Drosophila melanogaster: one gene and its partners. The protein of the gene in region 2 purifies or fractionates together with the protein of the main gene of each other region. This does not show direct contact. Each region holds a gene or a part of one and is shown on either strand. Other genes may lie near its edges.

Region 1 (11,979 bases), 5.6 Mb from region 2:
GAGACCTTACCGTCTGCTATCGTAGGAGTGGAAGCGCTGCACTCGACCCTCACGTCGACGTCGTTCCTCCTGCTCGCGCTCCTTCTGTCGCGCCTCGTTGATCTCGGCGACGGCGTTGCGCAGTTTGGAGTAGCCCAGATGCTGTTTACCCATCAAATGGTCCTCGATCCGCTGCTGTGCATCGCCGACTATCAGGAAAGCGCCACAGATTTCGCACACCTTCATTTGTTTCTCGGGCATGGCATCATGCGACCAGCCAGCCGCCTTGCTATCCGTCTTCTCTGACGTTTTGTCCTCGCTGGCTGCACCAGCTGCTTCACCGGCATCGTCAGTCGTTGTGACAGCTGCTTGTGCGGAACTTGGAGCTGCATCCGGCGCTTCATCTAGCGTGGTGGCGGCTGGAAGAGGAGTAGTTGGACTTTCTTCGCTGGGATTTGTGACCGGACTGCTGCGCGGGTGATGCTGCAGCTCGTCCTCCGCTGACTTGGTCAGGCTGATGCTGCTGATGGCCTTGTGATGGGCCTCGTATTGCTGTACCAACTGTTCCTTCTCCTCCTTGAGCTCCTCGCACACGGTCATTAGATCTTGGGCCTGGTCCACGTCACCCCGAATGCCGGCTTCCTCTGCCTCAGAGAGCAGCTTATTGATCCGGGCCGTCAGATTCGCAAGCTGCTCCTGGTGCCTGCTCAGTGGCGCCGGTACATTGGGCTGATCCCTTTGCATTAGCAGCAAACGCTGTTTTCCCTTCTGGATCTTTCGATCCACATCGTGCAGCATAACATTGCAAAAGCGCAGGAATTCATCCTCGTACTGACGCTTCCGCTGCGAGGGTCGAGCATCCTCGTAGAGATGTCGGGCTTCCTCGTCGTGGATGCGGGCACAGGGGCCCAGATCTGCGCGCGTATTTATGAATAGATCGTGCGGACAGAACTTAACGTTGTAGAACTGACAGAACTGCGGACAAAAAAAAAAACCCCCATTATTTTGGAGGTGGCTCTTTGGCGCGCCACATCCTGAGCGTACTCACCTCCGGATCCTCCCAATTGACCTTGGCGCCCGCCTCCGAGGGATGCAGGTTGCGATTCCTGCCCATCAGCTCGTCGAGCATCTGCCTGGCGGCGTCCACCATTTTCCGGGGCTCCTTCGCAATTTGTGGGGACAAAACTCCGAAGGGGGCGGTGGTCCCAGTGAATCAAATGAATCCAATGGTACCACACCGACTTCTATGGCCACAACGGTGCCGGCGAACAGGTGAACACACGTGCAACGCTGTGCTCCTGCTGTTTAGCCAAAAAATTAGCCAAAATAGAATCAATAAAATTATTTCACGAAATTCGCGTGGTATCGATTATTTCGGAATAAGCCTATCGGTGCACAGCGTTCCGCGACATGAGTGGGCGAACTATCGGTCTTAAAAACGTACTAAATTCTATAAGTTCATAAAATAAACAACTTAAGTTGAATGTTTTAATACTTTACTCGTATAAAATTATTCTTATAATTCATGTCATTCATCTCTTGGATTATTAAGTTATCCGATTAAGTTATTAAAACAACGTATCTCAATCAACTTTTGGACTATTTGATCTATTCAAAAAATTCGAAAACTACTTGTTGATTAGCAAGGGCAAGAAATTTAAGTAAGCTTTCAGCAATTAAAAAAATATATATTTTTATATATATTTGAACTAATAAATTAATGTGACCGTAAGACATGTTTACCTTTGCTCTTGAATAGCTGGCATCCCTGCGCACGAGCGTTGCCACCCCCAAGCAACTGTCAGAAAAAGGCGCCAAAACCGAGCAAAGCACGCAGCTGTAAACATTCGCAAGAAACGAAAGCAATCTCGGAATTTAGCGCGCAATTCACCAGTTTGAAGCAAGAAGTGACCCAAAATGGATGTGGCAGATGCTCAGGTTGGCCAGCTGCGCGTAAAAGACGAGGTGGGCATTCGGGCCCAGAAGTTGTTTCAGGATTTCCTCGAGGAATTCAAGGAGGATGGCGAGATCAAGTACACGCGCCCAGCCGCCAGCTTGGAATCCCCGGATCGCTGCACCCTGGAGGTCAGCTTCGAGGATGTGGAGAAATACGATCAGAATCTGGCCACCGCCATTATCGAGGAGTACTACCACATCTATCCGTTCCTTTGCCAATCCGTTTCGAACTACGTTAAGGACCGGATTGGACTGAAGACCCAGAAGGATTGCTATGTGGCCTTCACGGAGGTGCCGACGCGTCACAAGGTTCGCGATCTGACCACCTCCAAAATCGGCACCCTCATCCGCATCTCCGGCCAGGTGGTGCGCACCCATCCCGTACATCCGGAGCTTGTTTCCGGCGTCTTCATGTGCCTCGATTGCCAGACGGAAATTCGGAACGTAGAGCAGCAGTTCAAGTTCACCAATCCCACCATTTGCCGCAATCCCGTGTGCTCCAATCGCAAGCGTTTCATGCTGGATGTGGAGAAGAGTCTGTTCTTGGACTTTCAAAAGATTCGCATCCAGGAGACGCAAGCCGAGCTGCCGCGTGGCTGTATTCCCCGCGCGGTGGAGATTATCCTGCGCTCGGAGCTGGTGGAGACCGTTCAGGCTGGCGATCGCTATGATTTCACGGGCACTCTGATTGTGGTGCCCGATGTGAGTGTCCTGGCCGGAGTGGGCACACGGGCGGAGAACAGTTCACGCCACAAGCCCGGCGAGGGCATGGATGGCGTCACTGGCCTAAAGGCACTGGGCATGCGAGAGCTCAACTATCGGATGGCCTTCCTTGCCTGCAGTGTTCAGGCAACGACAGCACGTTTTGGCGGCACCGATCTGCCCATGTCGGAGGTGACAGCCGAGGATATGAAGAAGCAGATGACAGATGCCGAGTGGCACAAGATCTATGAGATGTCCAAGGATCGCAATCTCTACCAGAATCTAATTAGCAGCCTCTTTCCCTCGATCTACGGCAACGATGAGGTCAAGCGGGGCATTCTTCTGCAGCAATTCGGTGGCGTTGCGAAGACCACCACCGAAAAGACATCGCTTCGTGGCGACATCAATGTGTGCATCGTTGGCGATCCCAGCACGGCCAAGTCACAGTTCCTCAAGCAGGTATCCGACTTCTCGCCGCGTGCGATCTACACCTCGGGCAAGGCATCCTCGGCAGCGGGCTTAACCGCTGCGGTTGTGCGCGACGAGGAGTCCTTTGACTTTGTCATCGAGGCGGGCGCCCTCATGTTGGCCGACAATGGCATTTGCTGCATTGACGAGTTCGATAAGATGGATCAGCGCGATCAGGTGGCCATTCACGAGGCCATGGAACAGCAGACCATATCGATTGCACGCGCCGGCGTACGAGCCACACTCAATGCGCGCACTTCGATTCTGGCCGCCGCCAATCCCATTAATGGTCGCTACGATCGCTCCAAGAGTTTGCAACAAAATATTCAGCTATCGGCACCGATTATGTCGCGATTCGATCTGTTCTTCATTCTCGTGGACGAATGCAATGAGGTGGTGGACTATGCCATTGCTCGCAAGATCGTTGATCTGCACTCGAACATCGAGGAGTCCGTGGAGCGGGCATATACGCGCGAAGAGGTCCTTCGCTATGTGACATTTGCGCGGCAATTTAAGCCGGTTATTAGCCAGGAGGCCGGACACATGCTGGTCGAGAACTATGGCCATTTGAGGCAGCGCGATACGGGCACGTCGGGCAGGAGCACCTGGAGGATAACGGTGCGTCAGCTGGAGTCCATGATTCGACTGAGCGAGGCCATGGCCAAGCTGGAGTGCTCGAATCGCGTGCTGGAGCGACACGTCAAGGAGGCCTTCCGTTTGCTCAACAAGTCCATCATTCGCGTGGAGCAACCGGATATTCATTTAGATGACGACGAGGGTCTGGACATGGACGATGGCATTCAGCACGACATCGACATGGAGAACAATGGAGCAGCGGCCAATGTGGATGAGAACAATGGTATGGACACATCCGCCAGCGGCGCCGTGCAGAAGAAGAAGTTCACGCTTTCGTTCGAGGATTACAAGAATCTGTCCACCATGCTGGTGTTGCATATGCGCGCCGAGGAGGCGCGCTGCGAGGTGGAGGGCAACGATACGGGCATCAAGCGCAGCAATGTGGTCACCTGGTATCTGGAGCAGGTGGCGGACCAAATCGAATCCGAGGATGAGTTAATTTCTCGCAAAAATCTCATCGAGAAGCTTATCGATCGCCTCATCTATCACGATCAGGTCATTATTCCGCTCAAGACATCCACGCTGAAGCCGAGAATTCAGGTACAAAAGGATTTCGTGGAGGAGGACGATCCCCTGCTGGTGGTGCATCCCAACTACGTTGTGGAGTGATCCCAGCCGATCAACAGTTTATTACTATGCCCTAAATCTAGCTGGTTAAGTTTCTGTTTCCGCGTCTTGCTTTTTTTTGCTCACCCAAACAAACAATGTATTTAGGCAGTAAGTTTATAGTTTAGAGACATTATTGAAATCCATTAAGGATTTCTTGGTTCAGTTACGTTCCAAATCATTCATGTTTTCGCCGAAATAAACGTTCATCTCAAGATTCATTTCGTTTTTTGCTGCTCATTAAGAACGGAATGAAAAATGCAACCCAACATGCGCAGTCAAAATGATAGCAAATCCATGTTTTAGCTTGGTTTCCATTCATTTTAATTGTATAGATGCGTTGATTAATTGCCTATGAAATAAAAACGAGGCGCGCAGTGCGATCGAGAGCGTGATAGATACAATCCTACTTCTCGAAGGTGTAGTGCTTGACGCCAGGGCTGGGATATTGCTTGGCGGCCACGGGGCGGTACATCTTCTTGTCATCCAGCCAGTAGTAGAGTGCCAGGCAGCCGGACATCACGCCCAGGAAGCAGGCAAAGTAGTACGCATTGCTGTAGCGTGGCGGTTCGGCCTGCGACCAGCGATCCTCGCTGTACAGATCATGATCCGCCGAGATCTGCAATGGAAATGGATCAGGGTTTGACTCTTTTTTTATGCAGCAGCTGCTGCTAGCCGTTGATGTTGGCGCTTACGGGCTCGTGTTGGTTGCGCTTGTGCTCCGGATAGTCCCAGGGATAGTACGAGTCCTTGGCCTCCACACCCAGACCGTAGCCCAATTTGGGATAATCTCCGTAGCCCAGACCATCGTCCGCATACGGTTTGTACTCCTCCGGCAACAGATAGTACTTCTTGGCCGCCGCCAGGCGCTCCTTCTCCGTCTGTGGATACGGACCCGGCTTGTAGTCCTTATTCCAGCCAGCCACTAAAACGTAAATGGCGAGAAATTCGAATTTGTAGCCATTCGGTGCATGCAAAAGTTACGTAAACAAAACAGTGGGGCAGGTTGCACTGTTGCCAGCGCAGCCCCGATTCACACTTACTGCTGCGGATCGCCTGGCGAGCCACGACGGGATTGGCGGCGCACAGCTTTTGGGCCAAGCACACGGTTTTCACAAACGCCGACATTGCAGGCTTGTTTCCACTAAAAAAAAGTTCCTCTGAAGTTACGATTCCCGAAAAAACAGCTGTTCGCCTGCGGATGGCACACAAACGATAGGATACAGTGCCGCAACGGTCTGCTATCGATAGTTGTAGTTTCAAAAAAAACAAATAGAACTATCAACAGATTTTAAATTTGTTAGCTATGGAATAGGAATTTACAGTTAGTACTAAGGTAACTAGGTGTTTCTTAAAAATGTTTAGGATTTTTGTTTCTCAATTTTTATGAACTTAGGCAGCAATCGTTACAAAGTCGATAAGAACAATCGATGGTCCGATAGCTCTCACCCGCGCATCGAGGTGCTGTTGTTGTTTTTTGTTGTTGTTGGTGTTGTTGTGGTGGGCTCGTCCGTGAAAGATCACTTGCTTGCAAACTTATTTATTAATTACCGACTAAGGAATAAGCATAGAGATGGTGCTACCATTATTGCAACGCTCCACGCTTCGCGGCGTTCAACAAATGACGAAACCCTGGGCCGCCATTGGAAGTTTGCGTCTGGTAAGGATTCCAAGTGCTGTGCAAATTGGATATATATTTTGTAGCGAGATGGCAAAAATATTTTGCCTTATGTAATGCTAGATTCGCCCATGCAGCGGCTAATAACTCCAAAATATGTTATTTTTTTGATTGTAAACAAGGCGCGGCGAGCAGAAATGCCAATGAAAAGTGCACAAATGCCGGCGTTTCGTAATCATTACACAATGGAAAGCGGAGGCGAGCGACTTCCAGGCGCTGGAACGGACGTTCCAATTGGCACACCACTGCGACCACTTGTGGACGAAACTCCAATTGGCGCGCGACTCCAATTGGAAGCCGTCGCATTGATTTTTTCACTCAATTTTCGCAAACGTTTTTTATTTTCATTTCGCACTCAAAACTCAAATCACATGATTGAAAACAAAACAAACTCACGGCGTTGAAAAAAAAAGGGAAAAGAGAGAACCATAAACTCGCGAAACGAGTTGTAATTCAAGAAATTGTGCTAGTCAGCGAATTCTTGTTTTTTTTTTTCGGCAATTGAATTAAAACCGGTTAATTATATATGGTACTAGATGAATGAACGACCACTGTAATACACTACCGATTATTCAGATAATGCTGCATATAAAACATATGTATATAAGACACTAGATAGTAGAGCTACAGTCCGGCGTAAATTCCACCCATAAATCCCGAGGAACAGCGCTGGTCACATGAATAGCACTGGAAATGCAAAAGTTCGAATCAGTCTGTTTTTATAGAATTGCTATTGCAATTATTATGCATACAATATACATATATACACAAATATAGTTCGAGATCCTCGCACTACTTTCGTGCCCCCTGCTGTGTGCACCCCATGCCCAAGTTGGGTCTTTCATATTCAGCGCCCAGTGCTCGGGCATTCAACACCTCCCACCAATTCTGCGGGAAGTTCGCTCGTTGAGAGCGCTCTTTCAAGAATCTGTTCGTTGTACACTCGGCTTTTTGGTTTTGAATCCCCCTAGCTTATCGCCTCTGCCTTTCAATGCCCGAGCACGCCTCAGTTAACATCGAGCAGCAGCCGTCGTCGAGTGGTCGTCCTCTGATTTGTTCACTCTGATTGCCATAGTCTCAATTTGGCTTCACTTACTTACTATCTGTCATATCTGCATCTGAAATGGTCTGCCCCTGTGTTTACTTACTGATAATTATAGCCATTCTTATCGGATTCATTCGCATCGACAGGCCTCCCAGGAGTTTCGCGTGGAGAGCGACACCTTTGGCGAACTGAAGGTGCCCGCGGATAAGTACTATGGCGCCCAAACGATGCGATCCCAGATCAATTTCCCCATCGGCGGAGCCACCGAACGGATGCCCGTAAGTAGTGCCCCCCACTGCCTCCATCTACGTATACATATAATTCTCACGTAAATCTTTCGAAAGTATTTAAAAGTCAGCATTGAAGGTTCAAAAAGCAGCAAGGTCTAGCTAATTACTAAGTAAAATATGGCTTAAATTAAGCTTCTATTACAGAAAGCAGAACAAATGGTGAATGCTAGTTCAATGAGTTTGTTCATTGTAATTCAGAGTCTATAGAAAGTTAAAGTCTAAAAAATGTATTAACTACATTAACATAACACACAAGTATGTTGCGTAAAGTAAAAAATAAGAAGAAAACACATTGAAAGCAACTAAAACTCTCGTTAATCCCCGCCAGAAACCCGTGGTCCAGGCCATGGGCATCCTGAAGAAGGCCGCCGCCGAGGTGAACAAGGAGTTCGGACTGGACAGCAAGGTTAGCGAGGCGATCTCGAAGGCGGCCGACGATGTGATCTCTGGCAAGCTATACGACGACCACTTCCCGCTGGTCATCTGGCAGACGGGCTCGGGCACGCAGAGCAACATGAATGTGAATGAGGTGGGCATGAGCGGTCATTTGTTTCATTTGCACTATTCTCAAATCTCCTCTAACTCTCTAACTCTCAAGGTGATCAGCAATCGTGCCATTGAGCTGCTGGGCGGCAAACTGGGCTCCAAGACGCCCGTGCATCCCAACGATCATGTGAACAAATCGCAGAGCTCCAACGATACCTTCCCCACCGCCATTCACATCTCGGTGGCGCTGGAGCTGAACAACAACCTTAAGCCGGCGATTAAGACGCTGCACGATGCGCTGCGTGCCAAGTCGGAGGAGTTCAAGGACATTATCAAGATCGGACGCACGCATACGATGGATGCGGTGCCATTGACGCTGGGCCAAGAGTTCAGCGGCTATGCCCAGCAATTGGCCTACGCCCAGGAGCGCATCGATGCCTGTCTGCCGCGCGTCTATGAGCTGGCTCTGGGCGGCACTGCTGTGGGTACGGGTCTGAACACACGCAAGGGATTCGCCGAGAAGTGCGCTGCAAAGATCGCCGAGCTGACCAGCCTGCCCTTCGTTACCGCGCCCAACAAGTTCGAGGCACTGGCTGCCCGCGATGCCATGGTGGAGGTGCATGGTGTGCTCAACACGATCGCCGTTAGCCTGATGAAGATTGCCAACGATATTCGTTTCCTTGGCTCCGGACCGCGTTGCGGTTTGGGTGAGCTCTCGCTACCGGAGAACGAGCCAGGTAGCTCCATCATGCCCGGCAAGGTGAATCCCACGCAATGCGAGTCGCTGACAATGCTCTCCGCCCAGGTGATGGGCAATCAGGTGGCGGTGACCATCGGTGGATCCAATGGGCACTTCGAGCTGAATGTATTCAAGCCCCTGATCGTGTCCAATGTGCTGCGCTCCATTCGGCTATTGTGTAAGCTACCTATTACCCACCCTTGGTGGAACGCCAAATCAATCGAATCTATTCCTTTTTGTAGCTGATGGCAGCAGGACCTTCACTGCCAACTGTGTGAATGGCATCCAGGCGAACCGCGAGAATATTGCCAAGATCATGAACGAGTCGCTCATGCTGGTGACCGCTCTGAATCCGCACATTGGTTACGACAAGGCTGCGAAAATTGCAAAGACGGCGCACAAGAATGGCACCACACTCAAGGAGGAGGCCATCAATTTGGGTTACCTGACGGAGCAGCAGTTCAACGACTGGGTGCGACCCGAACAGATGCTGGGACCCAAGTGAAGTGGAGCCAAGTAGGCCGACGACGAAATCCATCATTCAATCATCGCTGTCATCGGAATCGCAGTGTGATTTTCTAGATCAGATCGTTTTGTTGTATATGAATCGCTCGGAAACACAGAACCAATAATAATTGAAAATGCTGAAGCAAAACAATGGTCTGCATCTGGCTAGGCGCAATCTCTGGGTGGTTTGCAGTGGCCTCCGTGCCAAGGATGTAAGTACGCGACAATGGTCGCTGGCAACTCATGGCTACATGGGGCATCTTTGCAGTGCGACAGTGGCGGTAAGGGCGGCAAGGGCAAGGAGAATGGCAAGTTTCGTACGGAGAAGGACACCTTCGGGGAGCTAAAGGTGCCGGCGGACAAGCTGTACGGCGCACAGACGATGCGCTCCAAATTGAATTTTCCCATTGGCGACATAGGCGAACGTATGCCGGTAGGCAACCAACCAACCAACCAACATATTCTGGCATCTACCAAGTGCTTTGCCATAGCCAATTAATCCCCAAACTGCCCGCAGATGCCGGTGATCCAGGCCATGGGCATACTGAAGAAGGCATGTGCCGAGGTCAACAAGGATTACGGACTAGATGGCAAGGTGTCGGATGCCGTATCCTGCGCCTGCGACGATGTCATTTCCGGCAAGCTATACAAACAGGGTCACTTCCCATTGGTCATCTGGCAAACCGGTTCGGGCACCCAGACCAATATGAACACCAACGAGGTAAGATTGTTAGATAGGGCTAACGAGAGAAATGTGTATAGCTGGATGCTTCTCCTGCCCCATGCCATTGGCAAACCTACTAGGTGATCAGCAATGCGGCCATTAAGATGATGGGCGGCGAACTGGGCAGCAAGAAGCCGGTGCATCCCAACGATCATGTGAACAAGTCGCAGAGCTCCAACGACACCTTCCCCACGGCCATTCACATTTCGGTGGGCATGGAGCTGAACGAGCGGCTTGTTCCGGCGGTTACACACTTGAGGGATGCCCTCAAGTCCAAGTCGGATGAGTTCAAGGACATCATCAAGATCGGACGCACCCACTTGATGGACGCAGTTCCGCTGACTTTGGGCCAGGAATTCAGCGGTTATACACAGCAGTTGACCAACGGTCTGGAAAGGATCAAGGGCTGTCTGCCGCGCGTCTATGAGCTGGCTCTGGGCGGCACTGCTGTGGGTACGGGTCTGAACACACGCAAGGGATTCGCCGAGAAGGTGGCCAAGCGCATTTCGGAGCTAACCTGCTTGCCCTTCGTGTCGGCGCCCAACAAGTTCGAGGCACTGGCTGCCCGCGATGCCATGGTGGAGGTGCATGGTGTGCTCAACACGATCGCCGTCAGCCTGATGAAGATCGCCAACGATATCCGATTGCTGGGATCGGGTCCGCGTTGCGGTCTGGGCGAACTAATGCTGCCGGAGAACGAGCCCGGTAGCTCCATCATGCCCGGCAAGGTGAATCCCACGCAATGCGAATCAATGACCATGCTGTGTGCCCAGGTGATGGGCAATCAGGTGGCGGTGACCATCGGCGGCTCCAACGGGCACTTCGAGCTAAATGTATTCAAACCCCTGGTCGTGTCCAATGTGCTGCGCTCCATTCGCTTGTTGGGTGAGTCGGAAATGTGTTTTCCAAGTGGAAAAACATGCATACATAACCTTCTCCTCCCAGCTGATGGCAGCATGACCTTCAGCAAGAACTGCGTGGAGGGACTGCAGGCCAACAAGGAGAGGATCGACAAGATCATGAACGAGTCCTTGATGCTGGTGACCGCGCTGAATCCGCACATTGGCTATGACAAGGCCGCCCTGATCGCCAAGACGGCGCACAAGAATAAGACGACCTTGAAGGAGGAGGCACTGAAGACCGGAATTACCGAAGAGCAGTTCAAGGAGTGGGTCAATCCCAAGGAGATGCTGGGACCGAAGTGATTCGCTGTGCGGCTATTGACGATTTTGTTTTAGTTTCGTGTAATAAATTTTTGTGTGTAGCAGGATATTTCAATAGATTGTATTAATTTGTTGATTTTACGGCAGGTGAATAACGGTTTTTAGTTTTTGAATTCTCCAAATGATTCGAGTCCACACTACGCGATAGTCATTATCGATTCTAAAGATATACCGTAAGTGTGGTCACACTAACGCCTTGCTGTTTCTAAATTATTCCGTTGTTTTTATCGTAAATTCTTGCACACTTAGCTATTATTTTATAGCGAAATATAAGCAAAGCAAGCTTTTAAACAAGTGTTTATTGCGGCGCACATTTTCCGTGACAAATGAAAAGATCCAGCTGACCAGCGATTATCTAACGACCAAATCGAATCGAAACGAAACGTTGAAGTAGGCGCATTACATTAAAAATTGGCTGCCAGGCAAGTTGGAGGTCGTAAATTAATCGTTTTGTTCAGTTGAAAATAGCCCAAAATCAGTCTAGCCCACACAGATATCGAAAAAGGCGATATATCTTTGGATAATCATTGCAAAAATAAACCCTTTCGATTCGACGATTTCGCCTTGTAGTTCTGCCACCACCGCCCCCACACTTCGCCCCGCAGCTGCACCACAACCACCACCACCCACAAACAGAAAATTTATTTGCGACGCAAAAACAAAACAATCGAATCGAAACGAACCGAACCGAAACGAAACGACAGCAGCTGTTTGGTTATAAATCGGCGCTATCGATCGCACACATGAGCAAAATTGGCGGAGAAGAAGAGGAAGCAGCAGCAAGAGTTAAGCACCACAAATCTTAAAGAATAGGTAAAAATTAAAAATTAAATTAATAGATGACAGACCGTTTAAGGTGCTTCATTCAGTTGCAGGCACTAGGAGCCGAGGTCTTTGCGGGCCGAAAGATGTCTGTGAGACTGCTGACCGTGCGACTGAT
Region 2 (11,352 bases):
AGGCGTATAGTTCCCTCTACTGCATTGGCAAACTTTTTCCCACCAAGAGATTTTCATAAACTGCGAATTCAGTCAAGTAAAATATGCCATATATTCCATATATGTGTGTGAGTGCGCTTTTAGTTCATATGTGTGTATCGCACGCACACCCACCCACACACACGCAAACGCACGTATGCAACTGGGTTGACAAGTTGAAACATGATCCAATTCATTAAATGAAAATTATATTTTATGATTCAAATTGCATTTCCAAGGCATCCTGCACTTGCGTGAGTGAGTGTGTGTGAAGCGTGGAGTGTGCGTACATATACGTGTATTGCCCTACACTGAAAAAAAAAACTGTTCCTAGCCATTTTGATCGATTCGGTTCCCCCACACGACAAATCTAACTAAACACACCCAATTCGCATGTCGAACGCATTGCAAGAACCGATTCTAGCCAGCAGACCACCCCTAAGAGCCCCTCCAGCTAAGAAGAACCGAGTAAGGGCAAGGATAGTCCCAAATCAAAGGAAGTCCGCGAAGAAAGTCCAGCGATCCGACCACCAGAAGGCAGCGGGACTCCAGCGCCTTCTTTGGGCTCCACTCCTCTCCACTGCAGCGGGAAGTAAGCCACAAACCGGACTGCAGCACCGACCGCCCAAACCGCGCAGGAACAGACCGCCGAGGGAGAGGCCTGATGCACTGGTTATCATCCCATCAGCTGGCTTACCGTACAGCGAAATGCTGTCGCTGGTCACAAGAGGCCAAGACGCCATGCTCAGGGTCATCTGAGAAAACGTAAAAAGGGTTAAGAGGACGGCCAAAGGTGAACTGCTCCCCGAACTACGTGCCTCTGCCCAAGACTTGACACAGAAGCTCAAGTGGACATGGGAGCGGTGCTTCGAGACCGCGCCAGCCTTCGCGCGGTAACACAATCAAAAGTATTTTTGATTCGCGACCTTGACGAGCTTACTACTGAAGACGAACTGAGGTGGGCCTGGAGTCCCAGACAGAGATCACAGCAGCAGTGTTGGCAATCAAGAGCCTCTGACAAACGCAGTATGGAGGGAAGACTGCTGAAATAGCAGTTCCAGCCAATCTGGCGGAACCGCTGATCACGCTGATCACTGACAGCGGATGCTAGAGGCCGGACCCAGGTTCAGGTGGTGGAGACTCAGCGAGGAATACACTGCCAGTGACCACTTGGCCATCATTTGCGACCTAGGATGCCCTTCCTCGACCCAAGCCCAGACAGCAGCCCTAGCCATGATGAAATACAAAAAAACATGCAAAGAACATCGACGGGCATTCGTCATCGCAGGTGCATAAAAGTTCATGCTTTTTGTCGAAATACTCTGCAGTATGCCGATTTGCCACGAAAGGAGAGACGGATAAATAACGGATGAGGGCGAAAACGTGCAATCAGAAGTGGCTCTTCTCTAACACACACACACACACACACATCTTCACTCGAAAAAAAATGGAGTTGCTGTTGTTTCCTATTTCGAATGTTTGTTATGGAAGGATAAATAACAGATGAGGGAGAAAAGAAAGCGTGACACACACACGCACCTTAAAAAAAAATGGAGTTCTTGTTGTTTCACAACTTATACACTTTACTTCACAACTGTTAGCGACTTATTATTATTAAGTGGGTTTGTAGGTGTACTGCGACCCAGTCGGCTCTATTGTACTACTACCCCTTCATGACTCAACGATCCCCCTGAAGTCCAATGCACTGTATAAATGCCAGAATTTTATTGTGGTTCAGGGGATTCTGTTTCTCTTGATGGCCAAGCGCCATCCATGCAGCAGAAGCGACAGAGTTCACTTCTGCAATGCCAATTTGTACAAATGGCTGTGAAGCCGGCAATGCCCCGTAAGAATGCCGAGTCAAAATGCGCACGGTGTCTAGTCCCGTGTGCGACTAGAATGCGAGCATAATTCTCAAAAACTGCATCATGCCCATTTGCGGAAAAAAACAGAAAAAAAGAGACGGATAGATAACGGATGAGGGGGAAAACGTGCACTCAGAAGTGACTCCTCCCACATACACAACACACACAGTGTTCACTCGAAAAAATGGAGTTTCGGTCGTAAAAATGGAGTTTCGCTCCTTTCCCATTTCTACAGTTTGGTGAGAAAATATTACGGTTAAATTACTGACCTACCTTAACTCGAAAAAATGGAATTCCTGTTGTTTCCCAGTTCGAATGTTTGTCGAGGAAAGATAACGGATAAAATTACGCACGCACCGTTACTCGAAAAAAATGGCGTTTTTGCTGTTTCCCCTTTCGACACGCGCAAATCCACAATGCGCGGAGCTTTGCTTCATGGCCCGACTGAATGAACTGAACTGACAGCGCATTAAACGCCGGTATTATTAGTGTGACCACCGATGCGATAGTTTATAATACCATGGTATACCCAAAATAAATACCAAAAACTAACGGAAAGCACATCAACTGTTTCTGCCGCATAAACAAAAACTGCTGTTCGTCTAACGTGAAACACATAACTTTGAAATTATTGCTTTGCCAACACCGCCCAATGATTCGCAACGTAGTGGTGGGCGTGTCGGGCGGCGTGGACAGCGCCGTTTCCGCCCACCTGCTGGCGGAGCAAGGATTCAAGGTGCTGGGTGTGTTTATGCGCAACTGGGATGAGGCGGACGAAGTGGGTCGCTGCAGTGGGGAGGCGGATCTGAAGGACGCCGAGTGGGCGTGCCGGCAGCTCGGCGTGGAGCTGCGTCAGGTGAACTATGTGCGCGAGTACTGGACGGCGGTGTTCAGCCAGTTTCTGGACGATTACCAAATGGGCTTGACACCAAATCCGGACATCCTGTGCAATCGCCACATTAAGTTTGACCTCTTTCACAAGCACGCCTTGGAAAATCTCGGCTACGATGCCGTGGCCACGGGTCACTACGCCCGGAATAGTCTGGGCAACTACCTGGAGGGGATTGCCTCCAACAACGACGCCCGCTTGCTAATACCCGCCGATACGTTCAAGGACCAGACATTCTTTTTGGCAGGTATTTCCCGAAAGGCTCTGCAACGCACGATGTTCCCTTTGGGAGACTTCCAGAAGAGCCAGGTCAAGGACTTGGCCAAGAAGATTGGCTTCCAGCGACTGGCCAAAAAGAAGGAAAGCACTGGCATTTGTTTCGTTGGCAAACGCAACTTCAAGGACTTCATACAGGAGGTAAAGCACTTGCCGCGATTGAAAAAGCACATGGCTCAATTTCCTTGATTTCACCACGGACTCAAATCTGGTTTCCCTCCACTTTCAGTACATCACTTCCAAACGTGGTCCCTTCCTAGACATCGACAGTGGAGCCGTTGTCGGCCACCACGAGGGCATCCATCAATGGACTGTGGGCCAGCGGTGCCGTCTGAGCTCATTCCTTCAGCCCTATTTTGTGGCCAGGAAAGAGGCCGCAAGCAATACCATCTATGTGGCATCTGGCCACAACCATCCCGCCCTTCTCAGCACCCACATAGCCGTCGATCCGCCCAACTGGCTGTGTTCCAAGTCCCAACAGATTCTTTCGGACACTGGCAGCTTGAGGTGTCGCTTTCGATTCCAGCACACCAAACCATTGGTGGACTGTCAGCTGAGCATCTCTCCCAGTAACACTTTTCTTGTCGAGTTGGACGCTCCTTTAAGAGCTATTACACCAGGACAATATGCCGTATTCTATGACGACACAGCTTGTTTGGGTTCGGCCCGCATCCTCAGCGCTAATCCCCTAAAGAAAAAAAACGCACAGACGCAGCAAGCTCAAGCCGCAAATCTGGTTAGCTAATGATGTTTCCTCTGAGCCAGAAAATAAACCAAATGTAAGAAGGCAGTCCAACTGCCAACACGGCATGTATAGATAGCATGGTAAATACGTTTTCATAAATTTAAGCGCCGAGTAAATTTTAGACGTGAATCGACACTTTTAATTCCATGGTAAACACTTTAATTTAAATTTATTATTCTAGGTCAAATTTACAATTAGTTTTTGAAAAAGGACATTTTGCATTTTGTGGTCCTGGGAGCAATGATAAAGTTATTAACACACAATCGTACATAAATAGGGTTTGGTAAAATCTTAAACTAAGTGTACACGTGAGGTCTCGCGATATAAAACTAGCTTAGCACATAATATGATTGAGCAGGGATGTGTCGGTAGCAGGTAGAATAGAAAGCGGCGTGGATTAGGCTAACAGCACCGTGAGGGAGTCCAGAAAGCGTGTGAGGTCGCTCTGCCGCAGCTGCACCACCGCTGGCTCGAAAAAGTCCTGCAATAGAGCGACTCCACTCTTTTGCGCCGCCTGCTCGAAGGCCTTGCCAAAGAAGTTTCGCGGAGAGTCTTCCCTTACCGGGACAATGCCTACCAGCAAGCACATGCCCTCCGAAGCGTTCAGGGGACAACTTGCGATCAACGGCAAGTCCGAAGCCTGCCTGGCTCTACTCGTGGCCACATGTCCGCGCAAAAGAAAGCGAGCCAACAGTCCAAGGGCATAGGGGTATGAGAAGAACGCGTGTTCCTCCTGCAGAACGTAGTAGAAAAAGGAGCCCGCTGAATGAACTTGGCGTGCCTCCAAGCTGCTCTGCACCTGCCGAAAGACAGCAGCATGCAAAAGCTTCGCCTGGTCGATGCCTGCAGACAGCAGCTGCTTGTGCTGACGACTCAAAGCATCCGAGGCCTCCAGAAAGCAATCCTCCGGAGTCTTGTGCTTCTTCACGGACTCCATGATGGCGAGCAGGGCATAAACGTAGTCCGCCGCAGCATATCTGCTGCGGTAGCCGTAGCTCAGCGTAAAGGTGCCGTAAACTATGTCCGCTATGTCGTACTTCTCCGCCAGGCGCTCCACCATCGAGAAGAACTCCTTGCGCAACACCAAATCCATGGCTCCGTACGTTTGGCGGGCGTGCACCAAGGGAAGTCCCATCTCGAGCAGCAGCTCGTGTAATCTCTTCTCTCCGCGCAGTGTCCACAGCTTCAGCTGGCATGAGGAGTAGCGGGAATACCTACGATTATACTACATGATTAAATGGCATAGAATACACTGTCAATGCTCACCTCATGGATTCCGTGACGGGCCAGTGGCGGTACAAGACCAGATGCAAATCATTCTCGAAGGTTATCTTGGAGGCACTCATCGTGTTCTGATCATTCGTTTTGTTCGTCAGTCGGGACACATGCGACTGGATTTGCTCCAGCTCCAAAGTATACGCTCCACTCTCGATCTTGCCCAGCAGCAGCTGCTCCGTGATGCCCACAATGGCCCACCAGAGCAGGTCCATGTTGTCTTTTGAGAGCTTCCAGGCCAACTCAAAAACCATCAAAGCGGCGGACCTGCCGTAGTAGCTGAACTGCGTGTACTCGAACATAATCCTGTCGCGCTCAGACTCCCACTGTCGGCGGGCTCGCTGCTTCAGGATGCGTTGCTCGTGCCGCTCCAGGCGACTGAGCTTACGGCTCCTTGGCGCCTGATCCTCCTGGTCCGATTCCCCGGCACCACTGTCGTCGTGCTGCTGTTCCGTGTCAGAGGACTCGTCCTCATCCTCGTCTTCACCTTCAGAGTCATAGAAAATTGTCTCGAACGCTGGAATATTCTCCTCCAAGGAGGCATCCCCCAAGATGCACACCTGCCGATCGCTGTAGATGTTACACACATCCAACGGGCGATGTGAATCGCATATGAAGAAGGTCACGTCGTCCGACGGCTGCAGGAGCTCCACAATATCTACACAGCCGCCGCAGTTCACCAACACCACGTACTTAACGTCGCCCTGGTGCTCTCCATAGGCCCGCTTCAGACCCGTAACGCCCATTATGGGCACCACGGTGTACAGCATGTGATCGTACTTGAACAAGGCCTGCAGGATGCGACTGGCGCAGATGGCATCGATGTCGTAGTTGACCACGATCAAGATGCGCTTGCCAACCAGCTGGCGGTAAAAGTCGTTGCGCAGATCCTGGACAAACATGGTGAACACTTCTGGCGGGAATCCCAATCGTCTGCCTAATCTGTCTACGTCTAGACACAACGGTCTCTTTCCAATCGCTTACGATGCAAAGTAGAATTCTACATGAGTGCAGTGCGTTGCATTTTGAGGGTTTCCCTGCGGCTTGCGCTATTTTCCAGCTTCCCACTGCCGCTCCACTTTTGCTTTTCTGGCAATCGCAATTGGCGAATCAAAAACGCGGGAAACAGCTGGCTTAGCCAGTGTGACCAGTGTGAAATAATGGAATGGCGCGGAAATACAATCGTTGCTGGGAAAAGAATATTCTGCGAATTTCCAGAAATTTTGAGCTGCCAAAAACCGAAATTATAATCACATAATGTTGAATTTTGAGAGCTCTTTGCAGTTGCTGCTATTGCAGTAGGAGCAATATCTTGGCGCTCCAGATACGGTCACACCGCGACGCCCATGTGTTTTGAATTGCCACAAAAACGAAAGTCTACCAGTCGACCAGCTTTGTGCGACAAAAGCCTCAGAATATGAGCAGGGACAACAAGATGAAGCACCTGACCCAGCGGGCCATCTCCTCACGCATGAACTACCTGTTCCAGGCCTCGAATTTAATGGCAGTAGGCAATCAACCAAAATTGGCCGCCTATTATGGCAAACTCTGCCGCAATGTGGGCACCAAGGCTATCATGCACATGTAAGTGGCTTCTCCAGTGGAGTATGGGCAAATAATTCATGGCGTCAACTGGTTTCAAGGGCCCCGGCCGTGAAGCGTTCCCTGTGCAGGCGCTGTTTCCTTCCCCTGATTCCCGGAGTGAATACGGAGCTGCATGTGGAGGAAGGAGCACAGGAGGCCAAGACTGATGCACAAGCTCAATCGAACGGAGCAGTCAAAACGAAGAAAAAGCGCCATCGCAGGCAGCGCAAGAAGCCCAGAAGCCGGAAAACAGGGAACACCAACCAGGAGGAATCCGAGGAGCAAATCCAAGAAAGTACTGAACAGGTCTCTTTTTTCTTAGAGTGCTCACTCTGCTGCGGCCGGCGAAGCTTTGCGGCGAACAGTCAAAGAGACTGCTGGTTGGAGCAGCCGCAATCCATAGTGCAAGTGGTCTCGCTCCCCAAAGAGAAAGACGAGCGATAAGCTGAAGCTTTGCTTATCAGCCAGCCTGCCTGTTGTGCCATCACCTGATTGCTCGGCAGTTGAGCCTGGAATGCTTAGCTGTAGGCAACTTATTTCTCGGCTGAGCCTTCTTCGGCAGGCGAGCACATTTGCTTGTGTGCGACTATGCCCCGACTATGTAGAAGTCCAGGAGGAGCAGGGCAATCTCCTGAAGTACCCCCAAGTTTGGCTTAGGGACAACTGTCAGTGTGCCGAGTGCTTCCACGCCGCCACAAGAGCAAGAAAAAGTCACTGGGATCGTGGCCCGCTGAATATACCAGTGTCCCAAGTGGCCTACAACAAGGAGAGGAAACAGTTGGAGATCATCTGGCAGGACAAGCACAGGAGCACCTTCGATCTAGGCTGGCTGAGGGAAAGGGACTTTGGAGAGACTGGCAGAAAGCATTACTTGGAGGAGGTCTACAAGCCACCCGCTCAACTCTGGGGAAAAACGGAGTTCGAGGATGTGAAAAGAGAATTCCAATACGAGGATGTGCTGGAGCAAGATGCAGCCCTGAGAGTTTGGCTTGAGGCACTGGCAGTCCAAGGATTCGCCATTCTGAAAGGGGCACCCAACGACATAAATGTGGCTAAGAAATTGGCCGAACGAATTGGCTACATAAAACGCACCACCTACGGGTAAATATTAACCAATAGATGACATACTTCATCGTACAGTACCAGGGTCATAAAACTCACATTTGCCGAGAGCTGTATTATCTATCAGTCCACTAAATATTATCACTATCGGTTGATTGTTACAGCCAGAATCAGGCAAATATTTTCAACCAGGTGTCCATTTGTACTCATGATAAAGATTTGATTACCACTTACTCACGCTAGATACTACTACAGAATATGCTAGCCACATTTCATAAATTAAAAGGGAAAACACCTTAGTTGCATTACTCAAGTTCAGCTATAAATTATCTACTATCCCGCCTCCCCTAGCGACGTTTTCGAGGTTAAATCCAAACCAAATGCGCGCAACTACGCCTATCTAATGACTCCCCTGCCGCTTCATACCGACATGCCCTACTACGAGTACAAGGCGGGCATCAACATCCTGCACACCCTCGTCCAGTCGGAGTCAAAGGGTGGAGCAAATACGCTGACAGATGGCTTCAACGTGGCCTCGCAGTTGCAAAAACTGCATCCGGAGGACTTCGAGGTGCTCAAGTCGGTGCCCGTTAACTGGTTTGACATCGGACACGACGGCGATGACTCCAAGCCCTTCCACAGTCTCTGGAGAGCGCCAGTAATTTGTTTGGATGTGGATGGCCGGTTCGCGAGGATCAACCAGAACACCACTAAGCGGGACAGCCGGTTCTCCGTTTCCCTGGCGCAGGCCGTGTCCTGGTACAAAGCCTACGATAAGTTCCTTGAGATCGCCCAGTCCGAGGCGGTGGAGTTCAAGACCCAAGCCGGCGATGTGTTCGTCTTCAACAACCTGCGAATGTTGCACGGAAGAACGGCTTACGAGGATGCGCCGGGCAACAAGCGTCATTTGGTGGGCGCCTACGTCGACTGGGACATTATTTACTCCAAGCTGCGAACCCTGAAGTTCCCAAATGCCAAGGATTGACTGAGGGAATGTTGTGAGATTTAGTTGAAATGTAACTGTGAATTAAATGGTTTTTTTTTACACATGGCACAGCGAATAAATTTTGGGAGGTGTATAAATATTGTGTCTCAACTTGCAAATGAATTTCACTTGAAACGTGTTTGAATCCTACGATGAACGGCGCCGATACTATCGATACAAGCCCAGTGGTCGAGCACTTCTCGATACTGCCGTGGTTGAGTAACTCCGCTCTGGCATCGCGATAACATCGATATAACTGCCACCTCTAGCATAATATATGTACTACATTTATACAAATATAAATATAATGGAAATATGAGAATTTAACCAAACACCGCCCGAAATATGAGTGTAGTATGTGCCTATGCAATATTAAGAACAATTAAATAAAATAGCATATTAACTTATGGCAGCACTTTGTTGCTATGTTTATGTTTATGTTTATGCACGCAGTTAGGCCAGGGCGGATGTAACATGATCACCCACTCGAAGGCCACAAAGTATAAGTGCATTGCCCACTCGAAGGCAAAAAGTATAAGTGCATGGTCAGCATTCACACGCCGACCAAATACATATTACATACGTACATACATATCTCGCTCTCCCGATAAGCCTAGATATATAAGATATACATAAGAACGCCGCTCCGCTGCTGGCGTACCCGGCAGCGCAGCTACGCGGATTAGCCTAAGTCCAAATATATTAAAAAACTGTAAAATCAGGGAGAGACTCGGTAGACGTTGAGCTGACAGAACCATTTCTGCCTACTCTAAAATCAAAAGAAGAAATTGAATAAATATATGTCAGCCCGACGGCTGCCTTCAACTTAAAACGGACTTGTGTTCTTAATTGGAGTTCATCATTACATGGCGACCGTGACAGTCGTCCAACGCTGGACGAATTGACCAAAGCTGGTGAAAACAAAGGAACAAAGGAACACTGGACTGGAAGAAGACTGGACTAATTAAATGGAACTGCAAAAACCAAGGAAAAATCTGAGTGAGTAGAGTTCTATTGAGTATGGGCAAACACCGTGGCGGTTTGAAAACTAAGCTGAATAAACGTATAGCCCACGTAAGGTGGCTAATATACGGTCAGCAAACGCCACCGGTTTGGTCGAAAGCTCTAAAGCTACATGCAGAGCTAGACCACTTGTTGCAATATCAGCAAGAATTAAAGACCCATAAGCTCGAGAAAACTCACTCAGATAATATTAAAAATATACCCACAATTAATGAAGTTCCAAAATACCAGGCATGTCCAGCACCAGCACCAGCATTAACAAAACCAAAGAAGTCCTGCCCCCCCTGGCTGCGAAGGAATCTGGAGTCCCCACTGCCTGGGGACTTGTGAGCGACCATCGACGTCTTCAGCGGCGAAGAAATAGACAGCAGCGAGGGAGTGTCAGCGTGCCACCCCCGGCGACGCCCAGCTGACACCCAACAAATAGACAGCAGCGAGGGAGTGTCAGCGTGCCACCCCCGGCGACGCCCAGCTGACACCTGATGAGCATCATCAACAGCAGAATATAATAATAAATATATATAAATATAAAGTAAATATAAAATATATATAGATAAGAAAAATTGTAAGAAATATTGTAAAACGGAGCATATACTATTATGCCCTGTTAACCCAATATGGCCCGTGAAGCCATAGCTAGAATCAGGCAGGCAACAATGTAAAATACAATTTTTTTTTACTCTTGCGAACATTGAAAGATTTTATAAATAGATAATTCCAAACATAAATGTCTATAGAGACAAATGAAATAAGTAAAACTGAAAATAAAAGTATATACAAAGGAAATTTTCTATTCTATTCTCCAAAATATAAAATTAGTATACCCAAAATGGGTCTAATAGACACTAAAACTGTGGACTCTACAGCCAATGTAATAAATAAAGTAGAAGTCCAAAATGCAGACTTGTTCTGGATAACCATAATACTAATTGTAATTGCATTAATTATGGTATCCAATGCATTAATAAAAATATACAAACTGCATAACAAGTGTCTTAAGAAACGATACCGTAGCACTGCTAACGGTATAGATAATATTTAAGGAAGATCTTTAATAAAGTCAATTATGAATGAAAATATGAGAAAAATTATATGAAAAAAAAAAAAATAATAAATAAAAAAAAATATAAAACGTAATATTGAATTTATCTACATTAAAAAAAAAATATATACAAATGAATAAATTTGAAGTTATGAGTATACCACAGCATGGACTGGGAAAAGCTTGTTGATCAGATAAAAGATCAAAATGAAAATTTCAGAAAATCCTATAAGTGCTTAACGCAAAACAGATCAACACAAGCTGTAACAATCAATAGGAATGCCCAAGTCTTGGTAAATAGTTATAATGAAATCAGAGAGTTGATCCAACAAAATAGAAAGAATTTGGAACGCAAACAGTGTGCTAAGGCTTTGAACCTACTGGTGACATTAAGAGAAAAATTAATATTTATAAAAAATAAATTCAGTCTCCAGATAGAAATTCCAACCATAGTAAACACCCCACTAAGAATAAATTTGAATGAAGACAGCACTAACTCTGACGAGGAAGATAGGACTATAGTCAAGGAAGACATTAAAGAGGAAGATCTTCACGATCTAACTATACCAGCAAAATTAATGCTGAAGA
Region 3 (3,304 bases), on a different chromosome or scaffold from region 2:
ACATCGATTTTGTTTTCTTTTCACTTGTTTTTAATTTCCTTTAAAACGTTGTCGTTTGAAAAGTTTAATTTAGAACACGTATTTGTTAAACTGGATTATATAAGTCTTTTTTTTTTAATGTACCCACCTGGCCCTGCGTTCCAACTCATCGGTCTTCGGATCTCGGATAAGCACAAACGGCAACCGATTGGATACCACGATGAGACTCGCCTTGGTGGAGGGCTCCCCGGCATTGGTAACGATGATTTCCGTGTCGGGCATCGTGATCCTTGGTAAGCTAGCTGTAGAAGAGTTAAACGAATCTTCTCCTGCGGTCAAGTCTAGCACATAATTTTTGACAACAGCGTATGGGAAAATTCGCGGATGTGGAGGTTAGACAACCGTCTAGTTCAAATCCAGGCTTATCAATGAACGAGTCCGTTCTTCCGAAGCGAGAGCGACCGTTGCCGAATTTGGTTCGAGATGCGCTGATCGATGACTGAAGACTGCTCGAAGCCAAGTCAATCACTGCCTTCTTATCAAAGCTACTCTCAGATGCAATTCTACGTGGAAATGGCAGGCAATTTTCCTGGCTGATTGGCGGTGAGTCGATTACGTTAGTTTCGATGGTCGCGAGAGCCAGCAGCTCCGTACCCTGCCGAAAATAGACAAGCACTAAGCCAACTAGGCGATCAAGTCGCACTTTTCTGCTAAAAATTAATGCCAGCCAGCCAACCCCCTCCACCCATTCCATCATGGGTTCCACAGTCCACTCTCCGGCTTATCAGAAAATCGTCCGGCATCTGCTCCTCTCGCGCTGATTACATTTTTCCCAGCGGATGTGAGAGAATCGAAACCTGCGCAGGAGAATACCTACCGCTTCTGTCCTGGCCTAGTGGCCAAGTGTTCACCCAATTGATCCTTGAAGGGGTTAGATGTCATGGGGATGTGATCTGAACTATCGGTGCCGCAGTTTACACACCGCAGATAGTTTTCTAGAATTAACTGGCCGTGCCTGGTATTATCAGCTCGGGAACATTTCACGGCAACGACGGCCACAACCTCATCATCCTCCGCCTCCTCCCCCTAACCACCACCCATCCCATTCCATCTCATCGATGTTGTCTCTCGATGCGATAAGTCAACAAATCGATGCTGTTGTTTACGCTTCGGGCTCAGCCTTATAAAGAACATCCGAATTGTACACAGAAGATTTGTATTTCTATTTTCGTTTCTCTATCGAAGTTGTCTGCAGATTGCAGTTGAAATCTGTTCAGTTTGGGATTCCAGCTAGTGCAGATCTAACCTTGTAATGACCGCCATTTCTGGAGTTCATTACCGGGCGTATAGTTTTATTTGCCCGGAAAGATACAAGACCGATAAGGCTATCTAGTGCATTTTAGTCTCGGATTTTACGGCGAAGTGGTGCAAGGGATTACGCCCGGGCAGCTTATATATTATAGAACGGAAAACTTGGCTGAACTTGAACGCTTGATCATGTTTGGCATTCATGCGCTTATCACGATGCCCGGCTGGCGTTTTACGTGATTCTTGATAGTTGTCGTCGCCTTAGCCGGAATCTGCAATAACACATTCGCACCGGGAGAACAAATTAGTCAGCTCCATCGGTTGTAGCGGTGCAGCAATGCGATGCGATCCGATCCGGCCGGCGATAGTGGTAATGATGGTGAGATAACCCGGCCGAAGGTCGCCGAATTACGGTTGGCATATTTATAGTGGCGAACTGTGGCTATTATGTCGCAGAAGTCTATAGTTTGACGTGATTAAATTGACGCAGAGCCCGCAGGCGAAAGATTCGTGATGCAAGCAGATTGTTGGGAAAACAACACCGTTATTAACGGTCAATAGCAGAGCTGGGCTGCCAGACTGCAGAGATCACTGGGTCGATAGCATTGAGATCGATAGCGGACAGGTGTCATCACTGGCCGCTCGAGTGACCGTATGTTCCCGCATTTGTTTTGTTTGTTTATAGCAATTATGGATCCTTCAATTATTGAATTTATTGGCGAAAAATGCATGATCAGCATAATACCGAACTTCAGCAACGAGCCTCTGCACCTGATATACGGACCTGTGGGCCCTTTCCGAGCCGGTTTTCCCGTCTTCGTGCCCCTGTGGATGGCCACGCATCTGCGCAAGCAACAAAAGTGCCGAATTGTACCTCCAGAATGGATGGACATGGATATATTGGAGGAAATCAAGGAGGAGGAAAAGCGCTCAAAGTATGTATGATGTGGGTATGCCCGTGGAAAGCAAATCTTATTCTCCGCCTGCCCATAGGTTCTTTACCAAAATGCCCTGTGAGCATTACATGGTAGTGGCCCAGTTGGTCATGAGCACGGCTCCGGATGACGTTCCGCGTTGCGAGGAGCTGCGCACTGTGATCAAGGACATCTTCGACATACGCGAGTCCAAGCTGCGCACTTCGATCGACGCCTTTATCAAGGGAGAGGGCACATATGCAAAGCTAGACAACCTCACGCTTCTGGAGATCCACAGCGTGAGACCCATTCTGCCCTATTCCCTGGACCACATAGCACGGTACCAGCGCACGGCCACTGCGTCTCAAAGGGACACCTCCATGCTAAGTGCATCCATGGCAGGCTCCAGTTCGGGTCCGAACAGTAACTCTCTGTTTTCTCAGTGATTATTCCAGTCAAACAACATTGTTGGGAACATTTAAGATAATAGATTTAGTTATTAGCAGGAGCTTATGTAGCCTGTAGTCATTAAACCTCTCAAAAGTTCAAAAATATTTGTATGCTTAAAATTAAATATAAATGCTTTCAGAAAATTAAAAAAAGTAATTAGAATTAGAAGTTTTTGATAAGGCATTTCAAATTCCGATAAATTTCTTTATCGATATGCGCTTATCTAACAGGACTGCGCCTTACAGCACGACAGCAATTTAACAGCAGCTGCTATCATATAATTGCACTGTATCCCTGGTTTTCCACGAAGAGAATAACAATAACTTTTTTATACAAATAAATAAGGATAAAGCGAGATGAGCGAGTCTGCGGTAGCGGTGGAGCCGGAAGAAAGGATGGTTGCTAACAACAAAATCCATTTCTCCAAGGAGGTGAAGCAGGTCATCGACAAGGTGAGTCAGTGGAACATATGTTGGTAGCAATTACCAACCCAATTCGAATGTCCATAAAAGGTTCTCAAAACGGACGATCCGATGGATGCGCCGGACTTCAACACTGTGGACTACATCAACCAGCTCTTCCCCAACGAGCAATCGCTGGCCGGTATTGATGAGACCATCCAAAAGATGCAGTGCGAGGTGTCCCTGATTGAT

What was found.
Region 1: the proteins of Cdc45 (region 2) and Mcm6 purify together in Drosophila melanogaster (affinity purification with western blotting; 3 studies listed by BioGRID, with this or other methods). This does not show direct contact.
Region 3: the proteins of Cdc45 (region 2) and Psf2 purify together in Drosophila melanogaster (affinity purification with western blotting; 2 studies listed by BioGRID, with this or other methods). This does not show direct contact.

Annotation. Positions count from the first base shown.
Region 1 is NC_004354.4:6,672,610-6,684,588, forward strand, and holds Mcm6 (minichromosome maintenance 6), read left to right. Parts: upstream 1-1,777; 5' UTR 1,778-1,896; coding exon 1,897-4,350; 3' UTR 4,351-4,567; downstream 4,568-11,979. Other genes in the region: CG3198 (uncharacterized protein), read right to left, coding at 11-954, 1,028-1,129; ND-ASHI (NADH dehydrogenase (ubiquinone) ASHI subunit), read right to left, coding at 4,754-4,966, 5,043-5,272, 5,391-5,475; Fum1 (fumarase 1), read left to right, coding at 5,921-6,007, 7,217-7,348, 7,689-7,889, 7,959-8,763, 8,828-9,090; Fum2 (fumarase 2), read left to right, coding at 9,227-9,304, 9,361-9,525, 9,610-9,813, 9,897-10,701, 10,762-11,021; Pink1 (PTEN-induced putative kinase 1), read left to right, coding at 11,948-11,979. UniProt on the Drosophila melanogaster protein: Acts as a component of the Mcm2-7 complex (Mcm complex) which is the putative replicative helicase essential for 'once per cell cycle' DNA replication initiation and elongation in eukaryotic cells.
Region 2 is NC_004354.4:1,024,358-1,035,709, forward strand, and holds Cdc45 (cell division cycle 45), read right to left. Parts: upstream 6,200-11,352; 5' UTR 5,971-6,199; coding exon 5,060-5,970; intron 5,008-5,059; coding exon 4,191-5,007; 3' UTR 3,934-4,190; downstream 1-3,933. Other genes in the region: CG3021 (uncharacterized protein), read left to right, coding at 2,536-3,189, 3,278-3,793; Rpp21 (ribonuclease P/MRP subunit p21), read left to right, coding at 6,486-6,652, 6,712-7,096; CG14630 (uncharacterized protein), read left to right, coding at 7,167-7,753, 8,066-8,699.
Region 3 is NT_033779.5:4,385,682-4,388,985, reverse strand, and holds Psf2 (partner of Sld five 2), read left to right. Parts: upstream 1-1,629; 5' UTR 1,630-1,666; intron 1,667-1,915; exon of another isoform or gene 1,916-1,972; 5' UTR 1,973-1,977; coding exon 1,978-2,222; intron 2,223-2,280; coding exon 2,281-2,647; 3' UTR 2,648-2,804; downstream 2,805-3,304. Other genes in the region: Tps1 (Trehalose-6-phosphate synthase 1), read right to left, coding at 128-261; Vps53 (vacuolar protein sorting 53), read left to right, coding at 3,008-3,103, 3,164-3,304. UniProt on the Drosophila melanogaster protein: The GINS complex plays an essential role in the initiation of DNA replication.